2 linked regions of the Lepisosteus oculatus genome follow. The protein of the gene in region 2 purifies or fractionates together with the protein of the main gene of each other region. This does not show direct contact. Links are inferred from orthologs where the notes say so. Each region holds a gene or a part of one and is shown on either strand. Other genes may lie near its edges.

Region 1 (10,505 bases), on a different chromosome or scaffold from region 2:
AAAGGTGCCGTCTGTGCCTCTGCCCTGTGAAATGAAATTATCTATTAACTTTATAATGAAAAGCATGAGTTCAAAGTGAAAATCTGGCAACAGACAAATGTTATTTTTCACTTTGACTTGCAGCACTAGCTCAAATTCTTCTGGAGCACAGAAAATTGGACTCATTTTTTCCCCAGGGCAAAATGCCTTTTAAGTTACCCTCTTATTATGAAGACCAACCATTCCTATTTCTGCAGTTGTAGGGACTCGCTTCAAATTCCTAAACCTGTGATGATGACAAAACAGCTAAAGGACACCACCCTTAAGCTACAGCGTAAATGGCAGGTGGTCTAGCCAGTTTCCCAGCTAACACTAAAAAGCACAGGGCACTGAAATGTTAAAGGCCAGGACCTAAGGTTAAAAGGTCTGTTACAATTGCTGCTCAGAATTTTTCAACTTGAGTTTCTGCAGTTAGAGTGCCACCTACAGATCAACCACAGGCATTGCATTGCTGAAATCTTGGGGATGATATCGGTGAGAAAAAATACTACAAATTAATCAGGAAATGTACAATAACATTAAAATCAATATTAAATTAACTGCCCATATTAAAATCAAACAGTCCCAATACGATTACATATAGAACATGGGAGGAGCGGTGGCTCTTTGTCTAAGGATCTGTGCCTGTGACTGGAAGGTTGCCGGTTCAAATCCCGCAGCCGGCAGCGGAATCCTACTCCATTGGGCCCCTGAGCAAGGCCCTTAACCCTAACTGCTCCAGGGGCGCTGTACAATGGCAGATCCTGCACTCTGACCCCAAGCTTCTCTCCCTGTCTGTGCGTCTGTGTCTCATGGAGAGCAAGCTGGGGTATGCGAAAAGACGAATTCCTAATACAAGAAATTGTATAGGGTTAATAAAGCAACATTATCATCATCATTATTATTATTATTAGAACAGAATGCAGAAAAAAAAACCCAGCTGTATCAGGTGTCTTTGTGTATCACATGAATGTAGAAAGCCGGTATTTGTAACATGGGCATGGAAGTGCTTGTCAACCCGTTTCTTGTTTTGAAGAGTTGACACAGATCCACGGACACGCACCAGTCCCCCTCACCTTGAAGACGGCGCTCTCTCCGAATTCCCTCTGTGGCAGTCTTCCTGGCTCAAATGTCTACAGGACGCCTTCCCAGAAGAGTGAGTGTTTGACCATGGTGTTTTTCCCCTCCAAGTCACAAATTTCCACCCTCTGTGCTGGGGTCTTTAAGGAGCAGTGTTCATTTTCTTCCTTTCACCTTCTATCTGATGGAGAAAGCCTTCCATAATTTAATCATAATCCCGTAAATTTTCCACTTGGGACGGAGCTACACCACTCCCTTTCTCTTTCACTAAAGCACGGAATGTACGTTTTCTTCAAACACGACTACTTGGCTTCATCCACATTGCTTCTAGAGCAAAATAAATGGCTGCTTTTAATCTTGAAGAAAGGGAGTCCTTCTCCCGCTCTCAAACTGAAGTAGCCTGGCTATTTCTCCAGCCCGTAATCGCACGGACCTCCGCCCTACAGACACTCCAGCAGCCAGGGTCCCGTCTCTCTACCTCTGGGGCCGACAAGCTGTTTCCAATACAGTCTGTGGACCTACAGGACCAACAAGAAGAAGAGACATTACAGACTCTTCCTTACACAAAAGGAGAATGAAGTGCACTGCACAGGGTTTGTGAAGCCCAAGAAAAACTATAACAGACGTTTTAGGCATCAACAATTTTAAAACCACAACATCCTCACATTTACCATCGAACAAGGGAACTACCTTTCAATTCTCCCACATCTGACTAGGAGTCATATTTCACTTCCAATACAGCCCTTGCACCAAGCCAAAACATGGCATGTATCAGTGGGTGTACAGATGTAGATTTTTGTAAAAAATGTACTGATGATCTGCAAAAGCAATAGCATTTTTCTCAGGTTGTGCTCTTCTCTTGCAATCTTACACAAAGAGGATGAGACAAGGGATATGTGCAGCATCTGATATTGGCTTACTTTAGCACTTCCTATGCTCATATATTGGAACCACCGATTGCTTATTCAGGCTCACAACTCCATATCCTGCGACGCACAAGGAGAAAAAGGAGCCAAGACACACTCTTCCGGGATGTGGCGATCTCCACACTGACTTACAGGGGAGTCGGCACCGATTGGTGCAGCTCTGCCACTCTCACTGATGTAACTGCAGGATGGCAGGTGCGCGGCAAGTCATATGGCTTTTAAAACACTTAAGATTAAAGAGGATTATTATTTTTTTCAAATGTGTTAAAACTGGGTGACACGGTGGAGCTCTGGTGAGCATTACTGCCTCACAGCGCTGGGGTCCCGAGTTCAACTCCCAAGGCGCTGTGCTCCCACAGCCTACTGGTACTGTAGGTCAACTGGCTTCAGGGAAAGCTGACCCTGGCGCGAGTGAGTGTGTCTGCCCTGGAAGAGACTGGTGTCCCATCCAGGGTGTACCCTGCCTTGCGGCAGATGCTTGCTTGGATTGACTTGCCGTCTCCCCGGGACACAGAATTGGAAGAAGCAGTTAGAAAATACAATGCCTGGATCAATAATATACAAAAAAAGTAAAATACAGAAAATACAAGTAAATTTCTAGAGTCGAACTTGCATTCATTTACAACCACCATGTTTGTGGCTTTCAATTGGTAACCGTTTCCAATAGATGTAGTTGCTTTAAGAGTATAAAAGCAGCAGTTCAGAGCTTCTCGCACTGAAACAGTCTCAGACGGTGATGCAAAAGTAAAGCAGCTGACACTGTACATTTAAACCCAACATTAAAGTCATCGAGGGGACCAGAAAGCTTTCAAGAAATGAAGAGGGGAGTGGTACGTGCTGATAACACATAGCCGCAACTACAGTAATAAACGTTTTATTCCTACAGATAAAGTGTGACCTACACAAGTGACCGTTTTTCTCGGCAGTAATCCTAAAGGTTGAAATCTATCACACATTCCCACGCCTAGCTAACTCCACGTCCATGAATTAATATAAGTCTGACCTGATCTGTTCGAGCCCTAGAATATGGGTTGGCAACCAGTACTTCTCCCACCGTTTGTTTGATCAAACACACTCACTGTACTGTAGCTACTGCACACACACACACAAGTTGACGTCATATCATTCCCCATACAATCGAAAGCAGACACACGAAAAACGACGATTAAAGCGGCACGTTTTTGCCATTTGAGGGAAGTGAGTGACAGGACTAATTTATTAAAACTAACAAGCCGAGGGGAAGTCCTTGAACGCCCATCTGAAGCACTTTCCAAACCATTTAGAGAAACCCCTAATCTAACTGCTTGACGACAGTTATGTCGCGTAGAAATGAGTATCACTCTTACTAGAGTTGAAGAAATCCCCATGGAAAAGGCACAAAATAAGGACATTTACTAACACTGACATCTTAGCTCGTCCTGGAAAAAAAACCCTCGTGAAAAACAAGACACGCGAAACAAGTTATGGATAACTACGCTGAACATTAAACAAATGTGCCACATAAGCGTGTATTTAAAAAACCCACAGTCTTTGACAGCTTGACCTGTCCTGGGTGCAGACGCCTGCACTGCTGAACTTCTCAAGACAAGGCGGTGACTTCACGGAACTGCGCCGAAATGAACCACTTGAGCAAAGCGGCCTCCCACTGCTGTACAGGGGTCCCCGATCACCCCCCTTTCTCTGGGGAACCGTTACAAACCCAAGCAGCCGCCGCACTGGTGGGTTTAAACCCGTCTTACCTGCCAGGAGCGAGAATATTCCGTGCTCACTTCTCTGCACTGGCGTCTGACGAGTCAAGAACGTCCGGACATCACGAACTCGGGGGTGAGCGCCGCCTCCCCGGGCGCCCCCTAGTGACAGGGAGGTTTATGACCTCGGTGTTCTGCACAACCACACCTGAATAAATAACTTCTCTGTGCAGGACACTGGTGCTAAAAACGCCTGCCCGGCCTCCCTCTGGTTTTTGATCCGCCCGAGCTCTTAGTTTCTGAGGCGAAGTGCCGCCTTTAATTCAAAAGCTTTACCGGATTATATCTCTTCAGCCAGTTTCCCGGCTCTGCGTTCCACAAATGCTATGGCTGCAGTTGTGTCCACATAAGGAGATCTAGCAGACAAGAACGCAGCCCATTCATCCATACATCATCAGTTCGGATATTAAGTGGGTCCTCTGTTTTTGTCTTCCTTAACAGTTCTCTGCAGGAAGAGGAATTACATTATATGCAGTCCTCATACCACAAAAAAATAAATGATTCTCCCCATGTCCTGCAGAGAGGTTCGGTTATTTACATCCCGCACTTCTGGGGAAGAGCACGTGAAGAACTAGGAAAGTATCTGAGGGTCGATACCACTTATTAACCCTAAAATCTTACCAGCTGGAAACAACTTGTCCAAAAAGGCAGCTACAGATCAATTAGCCTGATTGATTAAAAGCTCCGTTAAAAAAAAAAAAACGGGACACCTGGTCCTCCACACACAGGCTGAAAACCAATGATGCAGAGGACCGGTTAATGACAAGATATTAAACCCGGAAATGTAAGGATTCAATCCGAGTACAGGTAGTCCCTCCCAACTCACCAGTTGTATTTTAAATTCTTTGCACTGATGGCTAAGTAATTAGACTTATGTTTATTTTCTTGCTGTAACAACGTAGTATGCTTTATTTTGTTTTGTCTTTCTGGGCATTCTGTCGAAACTGAAATCCTTTTTGAGAGGCATTACGAAAAGCAAATAGTTTTGAAAACCACTGTGTTCGCCCATCCTGTGTTGGAAAGTATCTAGCTGCCCTGTTCTACTCCAGAAACACGGAAACACGAAGCTTACAGCAGAACTACACCATAAACGGGACACAGGACCATCTCTGGGTACGCAAACAGACGAACCCATGTTGAGTTGGGACCAATGTCTTTGGGATAGAGTCTTTATTATCTCCAAGGGGCAATTTCTTTTAAAGCGGCAGATGTAAAACAAACACAAAAACAATACACGTAAACACATGCATGCACAAAAAAACATCCGTTGAGCAAGGTCGTGACAGATTATGAACAGATGAAGATAACGCCTTCTATGACGAATTACAACACTAAAGCAACTAACTGTAAAGCATAATGCTATAAATCCAATGAATAGCGCAGCCGTGTTAAAATCATAATTGTAAAATAAACTCTAATAAAATGAACATTTTGTTTCTTGCGTTTCATTGAACATCAAACGATTGAAATAAAGGAGAAACAGTGTCCAGAAAAGTGAGCCAAAAATAACAGAACAATATGTTGCCAGAGACCATCGCAAATCTGAGCACAACAAGCTAATACTGTTACAAACATCAGCTGTGCTCTATTAATATGAGCATCCACAGTTTGCATGAATGATGCGTGCACGTCAGGTCCTGTGTACTTACGTCACACACCGGGGCGCGAGAGCCTGCTGAGTTTTGCTCGTGGCTGCGTCTGGAAGGCAATTGGTCTGTTGTCACACCGGTAGCTCCCCGCTGACTGCGCATGCGTGAGCGTGCTCACCCGTATGTTGACGTCGCACGAAAAGCCCGAACCGATCGCGCGGGAGCCCTGCGTCTGCGCGTTGTGAGTCTTGCGAGTCTTCCCCATCTTCCCTGGCCGAGTCGCTCTTGTTGGGAAGTGAGCAGTCGCGCTATTGCCCGGGCGGCCGTTGGTCCTCAGCGCCGAGTTCTGGAACCTTCCTGCGCAGGGAGCGCTCGGCCACACGGGCCGCTCGTCCGGAGAAAGCGTGCCGCAGGCCGAGGCCGGGATCGGGCAACAGGCATAGCAGGGCTTTGCGCCTCTATACCCACGCTCATGGCGGTGACGGTGGAGGAGCTGTATCGTAACTATGGGATCCTGGCGGACGCCAAGGACAGCGTCGCCCAGGTGAGGGAGCTGCGGCCCGGGGCGCGGGGTGGGCCCGGAGGCGGCCTCGCCGCTCCCGCCGGCTGTGCGCTGCTGGGCCCGTCCGCCGCGCCGAGGCGAGAGCAGGCCGCCGCGGAGCCTGCCTCCCGTGTCGGTGCTGTGGGAGAGAAAGTCGCCAGTGGGGGCGGAGGAGGCCGGGGCCGGTGTGCGGCTTGCCCAGCAGCAGGCCGGTGCACGGAGAGAGAGAAACTTACGGGCCGTCTTGCTCCGAACTAGGGCTGATGAGAGTCGCCCCTGACTGTTTCTAGTGCCACAACACTTCACCTTTCGCTAATGGGTTATTGTGCCGGTATTTTGATATGTTTTTAATCAACCACCTTTTTTTTTCTTTTGTTGGGTATACAGTACAAGTCCCAGCTTACATTAGGGCAGAAAGGAAGTAGCCAAATACAGAATCTTAAGTGTTGATAATATTTCTGGCTTACGTGATTCAACGTTTCGGTTCAGCCAGTTCAATTCAGTGTCTGGTAGCGTGAATCTGGGACGTTAAATGCTGTGGTTTTCAAGAAGGTCATGCCCCTTTGTTCTTAAGTGCAGTTCTCGATGTTACAATAAAAAAAATATATATCCAGGTTAAGGTTTTCATTTGCATATGAACAAAATTGTTGATTGAATGCATCCCAGTAAAGTAAGTTCACGGTTTTCATAGGCTGTCGTGTTTAATCTTTCTTCTCATCTCTCAGAACAAAATAATTGTTCTGTGCTGTGAAGATGGCAGCTCAGTTGTTTCGTAGCTGAAGTAGATCAGGGGTTCATATAATGTCAATTAATGTTAATGTTTTTTTTAATGTTTCTTTATTAGCCCTACACAATTTCTTGCATTAGGAATGCATCTTTTCGCATACCCCAGCTTTTCTCTATGGAGACACAGAGACAGGGAGAGAAGCTTGGGGTCAGAGTGCAGGATCTGCCATTGTACGGCGCCCCTGGAGCAGTTAGGGTTAAGGGCCTTGCTCAGGGGCCCAACGGAGTAGGATTCCTCTGCCGGCCGTGGGATTTGAACCGGCAACCTTCCAGTCACAGGCGCAGATCCTTAGCCACAGAGCCACCGCTATATAGCATACAGCAAAAACGTTAAAAATATTTTGTAACTTGTAATCTAATTTTCACTTCTGCCTGGTGCAGTTTTAAAGCTCGAGATGGCAAATCCTGTCCTTTGCCTGAGTCTGGTTGTGTGGTCATCTTGAAGGCCGTTTTCCGGGGCCCTTCTTGGAGAATAAAATCAGTGTTTAAATTGAACGTGCTCGCTAGCTTACTGCTGCTGTACATGCCTGCTTAGTATTGTTGATGGTTCTGCAGAGCTAGGTCTTGGCAAGTAAGTTTGCTGTAATGTGACTACAAAGGCTGTAACAAGCAACTATTGCAGCTTCACAGCCAGAATTGGGATTGGGAATGGATTTCACAGTGTCAGCTTTAGGACCTGGGGTGCTGTCTGTGTGGAGTTTGTATATTCTCCCTTTGCTCCCGTGGGTTTCCTCCCACAGTCCAAGGACATGCTGGTGGGTTAATTGGCCCTGGTGTGTGTGTTGGTGTCTGTGTGTGGACTGGCGTCCCATCCAAGGTGTTCCCTGCCTTGAACCAGTTTCTTGCAAGGATAGACTCCGGTTTCCCCGTGACTTTGACTTGGAAGGAGCGGTTGAAAATGGATGGGATGCTCGCCCACGGTACATGTGCTGTATGGTTTGTGACGTCTGTGTAGTAACAAGCCCCTCTCCCCGCAGCACAAGGATGCGTACCAGGTGATCTTGGACGGGGTGAAGGGAGGCCCGAAGGAGAAGCGCCTGGCCGCGCAGTTTATTCCCAAGTTCTTCAAGAGCTTCCCCGAGCTGGCGGACGCTGCCATCAACGCGCAGCTCGACCTCTGCGAGGACGAGGATGTCTCGGTAAGAACAGTAAAACTAGCTGCAGCTCGGCATGCCCTTCTGAGCCTCATCACCTGAAAAAATTAAAGGCGTAAAACAAGTGCAGAGTGATGGCAGAATATTTCTGGAGGCTTGCACTAGTGCTCTTTCACAGATTGATGTTTACAGTGTGGGGGTGAATGAGGTAAATGGTACCCTCCCTTGTGACGTGCAGTTCATTTCAGTTTCTGTTTTCCTCTTTCCTGTCTAGATCCGGCGCCAGGCCATCAAAGAGCTCCCTCAGTTTGCTGCTGGAGAGAATCTCCCCAGGGTGGCAGACATATTAACACAGCTTTTACAGACAGGTACACATCCAGAGCAGCTTTCAGTTCCACCTGCGCCTTGGTCCCTGTCAGTGCCACAGTCCCGTACATTAGACGGCTTTATCGTTTTTGTCTTGAAATGTTTTTTTGTACACCATTTTCCTGTATATTCCCCCCCCTTAATTGTGTGGTGTGTTAGATTTAACCATTGGCTAGCAACGTTGCACTTAGCGCACACCCTCTTGGTTTGAGTAAACTCGACTGGCCGATATATTGATTAACTAGGAGAGGATTTGAATAGTCAAGCAAGTCTTTTTTTTCTCTCCAGTGTTAACTAGTAATTTATTGCGTTTTCTGTCAACAGATGACTCTGCAGAGTTTAACCTGGTAAACAATGCATTGTTGTCCATATTCAAGATGGATGCCAGAGGTAGGATTACGTGATTCACTAAATCAATTTATTCTTTTGTACTCACCCCTTTAATGGTGGAATGGCGGCATCTTAGAGGATGTGGACTTTGGGATTAAAAACCGCTGCTAACTAATACTATAGTCTCTTCCTTAAATAACTTTTCTTCATCATGTTAATCAGAATTTAGAAGAGTTTTTAAAGTTTGGGCTGTGAGTTTGAGGGACTGGTCCTTGACATCAACATAAACGTCCAGAGCTATTTCATTTCTTTCATTTTTGAGTCAGTCTCTTATCTCTGCCACTGTGTCCCTGTAGGGACGCTGGGGGGCTTGTTCACTCAGATCCTGCAAGGGGAAGACATCGTCAGAGAGAGGGCCATCAAGTTCCTCTCCACCAAACTGAAGACTCTGCCAGAAGAGGTGCTGACCAAGGAAGTGGAGGATTACATCTTCACTGAGTCCAAGAGGGTAAGTGTAGGGCCACATGCCTGACAGTAATCTGATTAAATAACGGGAGCAATAATTGAACTAGATTAGACAGTGCATCTCAGACTCTGAACCATTACAGGAATTAGATTTCAACATACTGCTTCCTTTTAAGTACTTTTCTATATGTAGAAATCCTTGATGGCATCATTCTTATAATTACACAGTTTAAAATTAAAATCTTGATATATGTCCTGCGGAGTTTGTAATGAATATTATTTTCTTTCTCCTTGTCAAGATGAATGAAATTCTAGAAACGTTTGGTTACATTTTTTGAGTTTCTCACATTACAATATTTAACTCCTGCAGATTGATGCTTTCGAATTTTATAACGTATATTATTCAGTGGGCTTTTTTGCTCCTAACATTACGGCTCGTGTGTCAATATTTACTGTTGTAAGTAGCAAAAGCATGTAGGTTAGTGGAGCTGTTGCTGCTGTTGAGATGTTTGTGTGTGAAAACTGAGGCTGTTTCTAACTTATAGCCTTAGTTGTGTTCTTGTGGGTTTGTTTCCTCGAAAAGCTCTGCTTTCTGGACAAAGGAGCCTAATAGTGTTTGACTGGCCTGGTCACTTCATAAAAGTAAAAAATGTAGAGAATGTCTTGCCTGTTTTGTATACCCAAAAGGACTGTGTGCATTGTACTTCTTTCGTTATTAAATAATTCTCAGAAAGATAAATCAGGGATATCATTTTAACAATACGCTTGAGTTGTAAACATAAAGTGTTTCTTTCAGTCTCTGAAGATATCAGTAATGACTTTTGCAGGGTGGAGCTTTTAATTCTCAGTTCAGTCCAACATGGCTACTAAATTGACACTCTGTACAAATTCAATTACATGCAATACAATGGCTTCATTTTTCTAGACAATAGTTGTATTTGCCATTAGAAGTTCTTCACCATTTGCATTCACTATTTACATATCAACAGTCTATCGATTGGGGGGAACCGTTTAGCCCTTGTTGTGTAAACGTGGGTCCTGCCCGGCTCTTGAACTGTGAATGTCCGATCGTTCATGGGGGCCGTTTCGGGCACAAGGCTTATTGTCCTGTGTGAATCTTTAGCCACTGTGGAAGGCCCACGGTCCCTTCCATCTGTCATTCACAGTGGAGAAGCCCCACCGGCAAACACTTAGGTCCTGATTCCCCACCCCGTGTTGAAAGAGTTGAAATTTGCAAATAACCCTCCAGCTAATAATAATCATTTACTTACTTCTACCATAAGGTATTAACTAAATAAGGGGGCAAATATCATTAAACCTAGTGTGTAACACTACCATGAAAGTCATTCCACCTTTGTCATAATTGAAAGTTTAATGAATAATTTGAAAGAAATGTTCTTCTCTTCAAAACATGGAGTTGGTGGGGGAGGGTCACATGACCGCAGAGGCGTTTCCCGAGAAGCAGAAGAGGCTCATCAGTAATGAGGGATGTAGGCTAGGGCAAGTGTTCAATGCAGATGAAACAGGCTTGTTCTGGAAGAAAATAAGGAAGCAAACACCAG
Region 2 (11,100 bases):
GTGCAGTATATTAGGTTTATATACACCAGGTGTGCAGTGTGTGACGTATATTAGATTTCTATAAACCAGGTGTGCAGTTTTTAACAAGGGAGAAAGCACTGGAGGATTGTCTCACAGACAGAGCAAATAGGGAATAGGGAAACAGGGAATCTGAAATCCCAACAGCCGGCGTGTGTTTGCAGGTCTATGTGTGTGTAAGTGCAACGGTATGTCTAGAAGGGGGAGTGTGCGAAAATGTGTTTGTGAAGATGTGTGTGTGTGGAGGGGTGTGTACCCCTGGTTTAAAGGCAGTCAGAGGAGGAGAGAAGCCCAGCAGAGACAGACATACAGTACACCCAGAGAGCTGAACTCAGGTAAGACTGTTTACTCACACCTGTGCCTTTACACAAGACCAGATGGCAGCACAGGAGAAAGTGATTCGTCCGGATTCTGTCTGTCTGGGGTGGACATGGAGCTCTTGATCCTGACTGGTGTGATGGGAGACTGTGAGGGGAGATCAGAGTCATTGCAGTAATGGTATGAGTAGTAACTGCTGTAGCACTTTACTGTAGACAGACTGCTGCAGGTTGGTTTAGTGTCGGTTATCTCACTGCTATGTGCTCTGTGCTTCATGCCTTGAACTCTGAGCTCTGTGCTTCATGGCGCATGCTCCAAGATGTGTGTCCCATGCTGTGTACTCTGTGCTTCAAGCCTAGTGCTCTGTCTTGTTGTGTCTCGTCCTGTATTCAGCTTCTGTACTCCAGGTGTGCAGTGTAATAGTTTTATATACAGGTGCCTCACACCCTGTGCTCTGAGCTGTGTGTTATCCTGTGTATCCTCTCTGCTTCTTGCACTGTGCACTGAGTTTTGTCCTCTGAGCTCTGTCTAGCTCTGAGCACTGTCTTGGCCCGTGTGAGTCCTGTGGGATCCAAGCTATATCTTGTCCTGTGGGATCCAAGCTATATCTTGTCCTGTGGGATCCAAGCTCCGTCTTGTCCTGTGGGATCCAAGCTATATCTTGTCCTGTGGGATCCAAGCTCCGTCTTGTCCTGTGGGATCCAAGCTATATCTTGTCCTGTGGGATCCAAGCTCCGTCTTGTCCTGTGGGATCCAAGCTATATCTTGTCCTGTGGGATCCAAGCTCCGTCTTGTCCTGTGGGATCCAAGCTCCGTCTTGTCCTGTGGGATCCAAGCTCCGTCGTCCTGTGGGATCCAAGCTCCTCTGAGCTCTGTGTGCGTGCCTTGTGTTCTGCATGGAGAGTGCAGCTCTTAGGGAAAACAGGCAGCCACTGGACTGCAGGACATTTCAGTCTGGAAGCTGCCAAACAGAACACAAGTAACGCACACTTTCATGACCTCTCGCCATGACGAGAACTAGCACCATGAACAGGGCAGTGATGTTCCCAGGAAGCCACAGTCCTCAGGCTGCTCGTCTCCCTGACCGCCTGCTGTTGTCGTGCAGGTGGTGCTCCAGAGTGATCTCGCCATGCGTGTGGTCGTTGTGCTGCTGTGTGTCCTGGGCACTGCGCTGTCAGCCTCGGTGAGTGTCTCTGTGTAGAACACGTGGGCAGACGCAGGACTGTTCACCCGAGAGGAAGCACTGAGAGACAACACATAAGTGTTTTTCATCGCCTCCTCCCTGCTCCCTTATCTTTCAGATCTTTCAGAAGAACGGTCAGCTGAGGCTGAGAAAGGTAACACTGCCCCCTTGTGGTTAAAAAGGTCCTAGCACATGCCTCTCCAGTGTAGCAGAGATACTGAAGACCTGGAACAAGTTAATTAATAATAATAATAATAATAATAATTGCTTACACTTATAAAGCGCTTTTCTGGACACTCCACTCAAAGAGCTTTACAGGTAATGGGGACTCCCCTCCACCACCACCAATGTGCAGCCCCACCTGGATGATGTGACAGCAGCCATAGTGCACCAGTACACTCACCACACACCAGCTATCAGTGGGGAGGAGAGCAGAGTGATGAAGCCAGTTCAGACATGGGGGTTATTAGGAGGCCATGATTGGTAAGGGCCAATGGGAAATTTGGCCAAGACGCCAAATTTGTGATCAGTTGCAAGTGATTTGGTCAATTAAACACTTTAGAAGTTATTTAACAGAAATAGTCAGAAATCAAGGACCAGAGTTCCTGTAATAGGGTACATACCTATTATTTGAGCAATTAATAAATTTATCTACCCAAAGATTAGAAACAGACAATTAAGGGCAACACATGAAAAAGACTGGGATCCTAGAGCCACAGGAGCGCGCGAGTGCTCAGAATCAGCCTGAAGGGGCCGCTGTGCCCAGTGAGGCCCTGCTGTGAGGGACAGATCCAGACACAAAGAGGCTTTGTGATGGACTAGAATAGAGAGCTGTGAGCCTGGCGGGGTGTTGGTTACTGGCTCTGCTGGGAGGGACAGGGAACACGGGGAGGGCACAGCATGCCTCTGCAGACCCCTACAAGACACCAGCCATGCCCACTGACAATTCCAGCAAAAACGAGCCTAGCTCTGGGGTGGGCACTGAGGCTGACCTTTCTCTCTCTCTGCTGTCTCCTGCTGTTGTGTGGCCAACAGGTCCGGACCCCCCCTGGGCAGCAGGGCTCCCCCACAGAGTCCCCGCTGCCTGGTCCCGGGGGCACCTCGAAATCCCCCACTCCAGCTCCCCCTCCTCTCTTCCCCGGCCCCACGGCACCACAGAACCCATTCATCCAGAATGAGCCTGGCCCCAATGCACCCCAATTCCCTTTCCCTGGGCCCGATGCACCCCAATTCCCCTTCCCAGGCCCCGATGCACCCCACTTCCCCTTCCCTGGCCCCATCCCAAGACTGGACACCCCACCAAGAGACCCCTCCCTCCATAACGGGCACCCCCCTCGGCCTCCCTGCACCCCACCCTTCTATAGGCCGTACTACTTCAATGCAGCACTGCCACACCCCCAGTACCTCCCTTACCCCTCCTTCATGGGCCCCCCGCCCCCCATCTTCTCAGCCTACCCCCCCTTCCCCCCAGGGCCCTTCTTCCCCGGGCACGCCCGGGCTGGGGTGGCATTGCCCCTCAACATGCCCCCGCTGCCCTCTGTGCCCAGGAGCAGGGTGAGGGCGGGCGCTGCCTCTGTCAGCCCCCCTCCCTCGCGGGCGCAGGGGGTGCGGGGTCTGTTCCCAGGGGGGGCAGGAGAAATGCGGAGCGGGGCAGGTGCTGGGAGATCGACCCTGCTGCCCCAGAGCCTGGTGAGCAACGAGAAGGGGCACAACGGGGACTCCGCACAGACCGTCTAGGTGAGAGGGCCCAGCTGGGGTGGGGCGGGGCAGGGCGGTGGGGTGGGGTAGGACAGGGTGGTGGGGTGGGGCCGGGTGGTGGGGCGGGGCAGGGCGGGGCAGGACAGGGCGGTGGGGTGGGGCCGGGTGGTGGGGTGGGGCGGTGCAGGACAGGGCGGTGGGGTGGGGCCGGGTGTTGGGGTAGGGTGGGGCGGGGCAGGACAGTGCAGTGGGGTGGGGCCGGGTGGTGGGGCGGGACAGGGCGGGGCAGGACAGGGCGGTGGGGCGGGGCAGGACAGGGCGGTGGGGTGGGGCCGGGTGGTGGGGCGGGGCAGGGCGGGGCAGGGCAGGGCGGTGGGGCGGGGCAGGACAGGGTGGTGGGGTGGGGCCGGGTGGTGGGGCGGGGCAGGGCGGGGCAGGACAGGGCGGTGGGGTGGGGCCGGGTGGTGGGGTGGGGTGGGGCGGTGCAGGACAGGGCGGTGGGGTGGGGCCGGGTGTTGGGGTAGGGTGGGGCGGGGCAGGACAGGGCAGTGGGGTGGGGCCGGGTGGTGGGGCGGGACAGGGCGGGGCAGGACAGGGCGGTGGGGCGGGGCAGGACAGGGCGGTGGGGTGGGGCCGGGTGGTGGGGCAGGGCAGGGCGGTGGGGCGGGGCAGGACAGGGCGGTGGGGCGGGGCCGGGTGGTGGGGCGGGGCAGGGTGGGGCAGGACAGGGCGGTGGGGTGGGGCCGGGTGTTGGGGTAGGGTGGGGCGGGGCAGGACAGGGCAGTGGGGTGGGGCCGGGTGGTGGGGCGGGACAGGGCGGGGCAGGACAGGGCGGTGGGGCGGGGCAGGACAGGGCGGTGGGGTGGGGCCGGGTGGTGGGGCAGGGCAGGGCGGTGGGGCGGGGCAGGACAGGGTGGTGGGGCGGGGCAGGGCGGGGCAGGACAGGGCGGTGGGGTGGGGCCGGGTGGTGGGGCAGTGTGATCAGTAGCAGCAGCAGTCTCACTAGTTCTGCTGATAGTGTTAGCAGTGCCCGTGTCTAACACTGTTGTGTCTCCTTTCACAGCTACTGACCAGCAAACAACAAGCACACTGTCATGCACACTCACACCCACACTCACTCTCACCCAGGAGCACACCCACACTCACTCTCACCCAGGAGCACACCCACACTCACACAGGTGCACACCCACACCCACACTCACACAGGTGCACACCCACACTCACTCTCACCCAGGAGCACACCCACACTCACACAGGTGCACACCCACACTCACTCTCACCCAGGAGCACACCCACACTCACACAGGTGCACACCTACACCCACACTCACACAGGTGCACACTCACACTCTTCTCCCTGCCCCGCTCACTTCCTCACTCCTCCTCAGCTATACCTGTGTACCTCTCCTCCTGACATGGGCACCAGCACCTGGGCCCGGGCTGGGCTGGGCCGGGTCAGCACTGGGATGGGAGAGTTGCTGTTGTAAGTGGTGCAGGTGGACCAGTAGGTGGTGCTCTACCTTCTGGACTCTGCCCTCTGGACAGGAATTTCCACATCAGTATTGTGGAAACTGTGCATTGTGAATGACTGTGGAACTGCTGTCCTTCTATGTAACAGATCCTGTAACTGATGAGACATTAAATCAATTAAATCAAAGTACTGCCTACTTGGTCATTTGGTCCTACTTGGCCAGCAGCCATATCACTCTGCAGCTCACAACTTGCAGCCCACTGAAGCTCAGCAGGTGTGAGCCTGGTCAGTACCTGGATGGGAGACCTCCTGGGAAAAACTAAGGTTGCTGCTGAAAGAGGTGTTAGTGGGCTAGCAGGGGGCGCTCACCCTGAGGTCCATGTGGGTCCTAATGCCCCAGTATAGTGATGGGGACACTATACTGTAAAAAGGCGAGGTCCTTCGGATGAGACGTAAAACCGAGGTCCTGACTCTCTGTGGTCATTAAAAATCCCAGGGTGTTTCTCAAAAAGAGTAGGGGTGTAACCCCGGCATCCTGGCCAAATTTCCCATTGGCTCTTACCAATCATGGCCTCCTAATAATCCCCCTCTATGAATTGGCTTCATTACTCTGCTCTCCTTCCCACTGATAGCTGGTGTGTGGTGAGTGTACTGGTGCACTATGGCTGCCATTGCATCATCCAGGTGGGGCTGCACATTGGTGGTGGTGGAGGGGAGTCCCCATTACCTGTAAAGCGCTTTGAGTGGAGTGTCCAGAAAAGCGCTATATAAGTGTAAGCAATTATTATTATTATATTTAAGATCTTGGGATACTTTTGTTTGTAAGGGGATTGTCCTGCATCAGTCCCACTCTGGGCTCGAACAGACTGGCCTCCCTGCTGACCCCTTAACCTGCCTGGAGCAGGAGCACAGGTCACTCCCACCCCTGGCCTCTGGACAGCGGGGTGAAGTGGGTTCCGTCTTATTCCGAAGGGCTTTGGGATCCTTTGAGATGAAACGTGCTGTACAAAGGCAGTTATTTTAGAATTGTTAATATTGTAAATAAGGCTTGTGGGGATCTGGAAGAAATTGTCACCAAGTTATTGATCCTGATCCTAGGATCAATTAACTCCTCTATTGTAATAGTTCTAATGCACAGCTCTCATATACCCTGGATCTTAACCACCGGACCAGCTGTCCCCCTGCTGTGACAGTCCCGTATCTTAACCACTGGACAAGTTCATTAATAAAATAATCGTCCCCTTAACAATTATTGTATAAATACCAGAAAGGTCGCTTAATCTAGACTCTTATTTTTCTAACTAGTTAAAGTTTAAAGTAAGTTATTCCACGTGTGACAACTATGAACTTCGCAAAGCCGAAGACGAAAACCCTCCTCTCATTTCATTTCCCGGTGGAACGGCATTTGTGTCTCCTTCCGAGCGGGCAAAGAAGAACCCGCCTCTTACCCCAACAATCAAACCAATCCGATAGGAGTACTTCCGTGATGGACACATGAATAAGCCAATAGAAAGGGGCTACGGAGAGTTTTCATGTGATTGAAGATCACTTTAGCCAATAGGAGCCTCAGCTGGCCCGGAGGCGGTAGTTCCGGATGCTTGTATAAACCAAGCGGCCTTGCCATGTGTGTTGTTTCAGCGGCGGATTGAGGCTGTTTGGGGTTTGAGCTGAGAGGTGAGAAACGGGAAATTCGGGGTTTAGTTTGTTCCAAGTCGCAGTTTTTCGTTTTGCTGGGGTTGTGGTGTCTCTGGGATTTATTTAGGAGGAGGGTAATTGAAATTTTATTGCGGCACTAGTCCACGAATCGTTGTGTTTTTCTGTGCGAGTCGGTGAGAAAGGAGGGGGGACGGCAGTTCGGTTTGCCGGCTTCATTGAGTCCGGTACCTGCTTTTCCGTCCGGGCCGAGCCGGGCCGGGCGGGTCGTTCGCAGGAGGGCCGGGGACAGCCGTGAGCAGCCCCGCTGTCGGGGCAGGCCGGCGGGCCGGTGTTGCGGGCCGGCGGAAGGAGCAGACCCGACCTCCCATTGTTCGCTGCGGAGCGTCATGGCAGCTGCAGCCCGGCCGAGCGCTTGCTGTTGTCCCGGGCTCGCCTGCCGCTGCCGACCAGCTGCTGTTTCTCCTCCTCCTTCTCCTTGAAAGGTGACTTGTTCCCGGCGGCGTTGCTCGCCTGCTGCGGGGTGAACAGTGCTTCTGGACGCGTTGCTCCGGGGTCTGGGCCGAGATGCCGAACCGGGTCAGGGGTTGTGACCTCCCGGCGCCGGTGACCTGTGGCTTTTAGCTACAACGTGTTTTGGCGTTTCCGAAAGTCCGTCGTGCGAAGTCGACTTTTGCTACTTAAAACTTTGCCTTTCGTGTTTGAAAGGAACGCTTTAGCAAGAGGTTTTTTCTTTCTTCCACGCGTTGCCTTTTCTTTTTAAGGGCGCATTTCTCATTGGTTAGATAAGTATTTGTTTTTTTCCGCGCTCGGGCCTTCGCGGCCCGCTTTCAGTCTTTGTTCGGTTCGGGCAGAGGGCACTTCCTCCCCCGGTCGGGGCGCTCAGGAAAGAGCGGTGCTCGGGCTGCGGCCTGTCGCTTTGTGCCCTCGCCCGGGCCGAGCGGCTCTGCCGTTTTAGAGCCTTTCCTTCGCTTCTGAAACGCGCTGCTGGGGAAGGGTTTATCTGTCCAGGCGTTTCGAGTATCGGTCTTCAGCGCTCGCAGTGGTGTTGAAATCGAAACCCTCCGCGGGCGGGAGGGCGACGGCTGGTGACCTGTCCGGGGGGTCCTGATACTTGTTCTGCAGAAAGTGCTGGACAGGCAGTCAGCCCTCAAATAACCGCCAAGTGAGACTGCTGACGCTGTTGGACGGGTTTTAGACTGTGTAGGGGTCAAGTATAGCCGGCCGGCAGCGCTCTCGTGTGCTGTGTAGACGGGGTGCACTGAGTGGCTTTCAGTGTCTTGAGAGATGGAGGCCTCTCCTCGCTGGGGCTCAGTGTGTGTCTTGAGCGTGGTGTGGGGATGATGAGGTCTTCTCCTCTCGGTGTGTGTCTTGAGCGTGGTGTGGGGATGATGAGGTCTTCTCCTCGCTGGAGTGCCTGCTCTCAGGTGTGGGGCTCTGCTCTAACGATCTCCTCGCTTGCTGCCCCCTCCCCCCCAGCATGGCAGAGAACGACGTTGAGAATGAGCTGCTGGACTACGAGGAGGATGAGGAGCCGCAGACCGCGCCGGAGAGCGCCGCGCCTGCCGGCAAGAAGGAGGTGAAGGGCTCCTACGTCTCCATCCACAGCTCCGGCTTCCGGGACTTCCTGCTGAAGCCCGAGCTGCTGCGGGCCATTGTGGACTGCGGCTTCGAGCACCCCTCCGAGGGTGAGTGCGCCGCCCCGCTCCGCGGCTGGGGGGGGGGTGGGGGGATTGTGAATCCCGCGGATCCAGGTGACCCGTCTCTCGTCCTTGCCTCTCCCAGTGCAGCACGAGTGCATCCCGCAGGCGATCCTGGGCATGGACATCCTGTGCCAGGCGAAGTCGGGCATGGGCAAGACGGCCGTGTTCGTGCTGGCCACCCTGCAGCAGATCGAGCCTGTGGACGGACAGGTAGGTGTCCCGGGCCGGCTGTCCGTGTGGCCACGAGGCGGCCAAGAGGAGCTGGTCTTCACTTGCAAACCACTGCAGGGGAGCAGGCCAGTGCACCTCTCCACCAGACTCTGTCAGGGCTCGGGTTGGAGACGCAGGCAGCCAGATCACTGGCTGCAAACAGCCGTTTAAGCCACTTCTGTACCAGGAGTGTTTGCAGTAGAGCAGTGTTAAGAGTAAATGGTGCTTCACGTCCACTGCACTTCCTAAATCTAAGAATTACCACCTGGATGATGCTTCAAAGCACCAAGAGGCTACAAAAACATTAGGTAGTCACTCATTCTGAGTGCTGTTACTCTTATCCTCTTAGGTAGTAGGCACCAGTATCCTCTGTCATTGTGTTGACAGCATGTGCTAGAAACTATACATAAAAAAAATAGATAAGGAGAACCCAGTAAAACAACACACAAAAGGATATACTTTTTCATTAATTTATTGATCAAAATGATCCAACATCAAATGTCTTTGTCAGAAGAGGTACGAACCTATGCTTTCAGTTACTGGTGTGACCCCTTTAAGCAGCAGTGACTTCAACCAAACGTTCAGGGTAACTGTTGATCGGTTCCGCACATCGGCTTGGAGGAATTTTGGCCCATTCCTCCTTACAGAACTGCTTCATCTCAGTGATGTTGGCGGACCCGCTTCAGGTCCTGCCACAACAATTCTATTGGATTAAGGTCTGGACCAAAGTCCAGACCTTAATCCGATAGAATTGTCAAAACGCAAAATTTCTTCTGCTTCAACCATTCTTTGGTTGGGTGACTTGTGTATTTAGGGTCGTTGTCTTGCTGCAAGACCCACCTTCTGTAGAGCTTCAGTTCACGGACGGACATGATGTTTCTCGTTTAAGCCAAAAAGTTATTTTCGACTCATCCGTCCACAGAACATTCTTCCAGTAGTTTTCTGGCTCACCCAGGTGGTCTTTAGCGAACTTTGAACGGGCAGCAATGTTCTTCTTGAAGAGTAGTGGCTTCCTCCTTGCTGTCCTCCCATGCACACTATTCTCGTTCAGCGTTTGCCTGCTGGTGGACTCAGGAACACTGACATTAGCCAGTGTAAGAGAGGCCTGCAGATCCTTGGGCGTTACTCTGTTCGTTGTGATCTCCTGGAATATTAGACGCTTTGCTCTTGGAGTGATTTTTGTTGGATGACCACTCCTGGGGAGAGCAACAATGGTGTAAATTTTCTCCATTTGTACGCTATCTGCCTAACAGTGGATTGGTGAAGCCCAAGGTCTTTAGAAATAGTTTTGTAACCTTTCCCAGCGTGATGAGCATCGAGAACTCTTTTTCTGAGGTCCTCGGAAATCTCCTGTGATCGAGGCCTGGCATGCATTCACAAACCTGTCTGGTGAAGACCAGACTTTGGTCGTGAAGACTCAGGTTTTTTTAAATAGGGCGCAGCCGCCCAAACTCACACCTGATTGTCATCCCATTGATTGACACTCCTGACTAATTATCCCCTTAACTGAGCTGATAATCCTAGAGATTCACATACTTTTTCTGACAAAGACATTTAATGTTGGATCATTTTGATCAATAAATGAATGGAAAAGTATATCCTTTTGTGTGTTATTGGCTTCTCCTTATCTATTTTTATGACTTGGATGAAGATCTGATCACATTTTAGGTGCAGAAATTCTAAAGGGTTCACAAACTTTCTAGCACCACTGTATGTGCGAACATCTCGTTTTTCTGCACCAAAGTTTTGTTTTGCATCAGTTGTATCCATCTGTAAAGTCGACTGGATGGTTTGTGTACTCGGAGTACGTGTCGCACAGACTTTAGCGGCTCAGTGAGGCGAAAGGAAGATTTCCGCAGCACATAGACAGGGAAGCACGTTCTGACAGGCCGGTTCTGTGATTATAGCAGTGACTTCAGTGGTGGTCGGCCATGATCGGCTCCCCCGTCAGGAGGCTGGTGAGGGCCGTGGCGGCCCCCGCGCCCAAGTGTCCGCGGCCATGTTGACGGTGTCCCCTTCTGTCCCCAGGTGGCGGTGCTGGTGATGTGCCACACGCGGGAGCTGGCCTTCCAGATCAGCAAGGAGTACGAGCGCTTCTCCAAGTACATGCCCACCGTCAAGGCGGCCGTGTTCTTCGGGGGGCTGTCCATCAAGAAGGACGAGGAGGTCCTGAAGAAGAACTGCCCGCACATCGTGGTGGGCACGCCGGGGCGCATCCTGGCGCTGGTCCGCAACAAGACGCTCAGCCTGAAGAACGTCAAGCACTTCGTCCTGGACGAGTGTGACAAGATGCTGGAGCAGCTGGGTGAGTGCCGGGGTCGCAGTGGGGTCAGCCACGATGGTGGGAGAAGCGCACACCCCTCTCCACTGGGGAGTTCTGCCGGTGTTTTGCCCCCCAGTTACGTGTCTGAAGGAAGTCTGCAAGCCCGGGCCTTTGATAGCTGTCCCTGAAGTGGCATGTTGCTGTCGTGTGTAGGATTTTGAAGGGGAAGGGCCCTTCTCCTGGATACGACCAGGAATCCAGCTCGCTTTCTGTTGCGCTTCTAGTCTCCTGTTTGTCTGAAGTCCAGGGTTATGGATAGGGTGCCCACCCATTAAATAATCCAGGACGGGACACTCCTGCCTGGACAGGAGCCTTCATGCCGATTGGAAGTCACCCCGGACGTGGGGGCGCCCTGAATCGTGGGAATTGGTTCTCTCGGCCCACAGAGACCTCGGCTCCCTTTTGTGTTTCTTAACATTGGTTAGCTGTTGGAAACTTGGAGCATCCCATTGACAACAGACACCTGAGCATGCTACACTAATCTATAGCCTGGCTTGGGATTGCAGTCTCCCCCCCGCCCTTCC

What was found. The genes of interacting proteins can lie anywhere in the genome.
Region 1: the proteins of ddx39ab (region 2) and api5 fractionate together in Homo sapiens (co-fractionation; 3 studies listed by BioGRID, with this or other methods). This does not show direct contact. The link is inferred for Lepisosteus oculatus from reciprocal best matches to the Homo sapiens genes DDX39A and API5.

The regions. Positions count from the first base shown.
Region 1 is NC_090716.1:16,206,486-16,216,990, reverse strand, and holds the start of api5 (apoptosis inhibitor 5), read left to right. Parts: upstream 1-5,521; coding exon 5,522-5,905; intron 5,906-7,665; coding exon 7,666-7,827; intron 7,828-8,056; coding exon 8,057-8,150; intron 8,151-8,472; coding exon 8,473-8,538; intron 8,539-8,834; coding exon 8,835-8,986; intron 8,987-10,505. UniProt on the Homo sapiens protein: Antiapoptotic factor that may have a role in protein assembly. Negatively regulates ACIN1. By binding to ACIN1, it suppresses ACIN1 cleavage from CASP3 and ACIN1-mediated DNA fragmentation. Also known to efficiently suppress E2F1-induced apoptosis.
Region 2 is NC_090706.1:13,740,362-13,751,461, reverse strand, and holds the start of ddx39ab (DEAD (Asp-Glu-Ala-Asp) box polypeptide 39Ab), read left to right. Parts: upstream 1-6,257; 5' UTR 6,258-6,361; intron 6,362-7,819; 5' UTR 7,820-7,820; coding exon 7,821-8,028; intron 8,029-8,125; coding exon 8,126-8,253; intron 8,254-10,281; coding exon 10,282-10,558; intron 10,559-11,100. Other genes in the region: uncharacterized protein, read left to right, coding at 1,466-1,519, 1,638-1,673, 2,555-3,256. UniProt on the Homo sapiens protein: Helicase that plays an essential role in mRNA export and is involved in multiple steps in RNA metabolism including alternative splicing. Regulates nuclear mRNA export to the cytoplasm through association with ECD.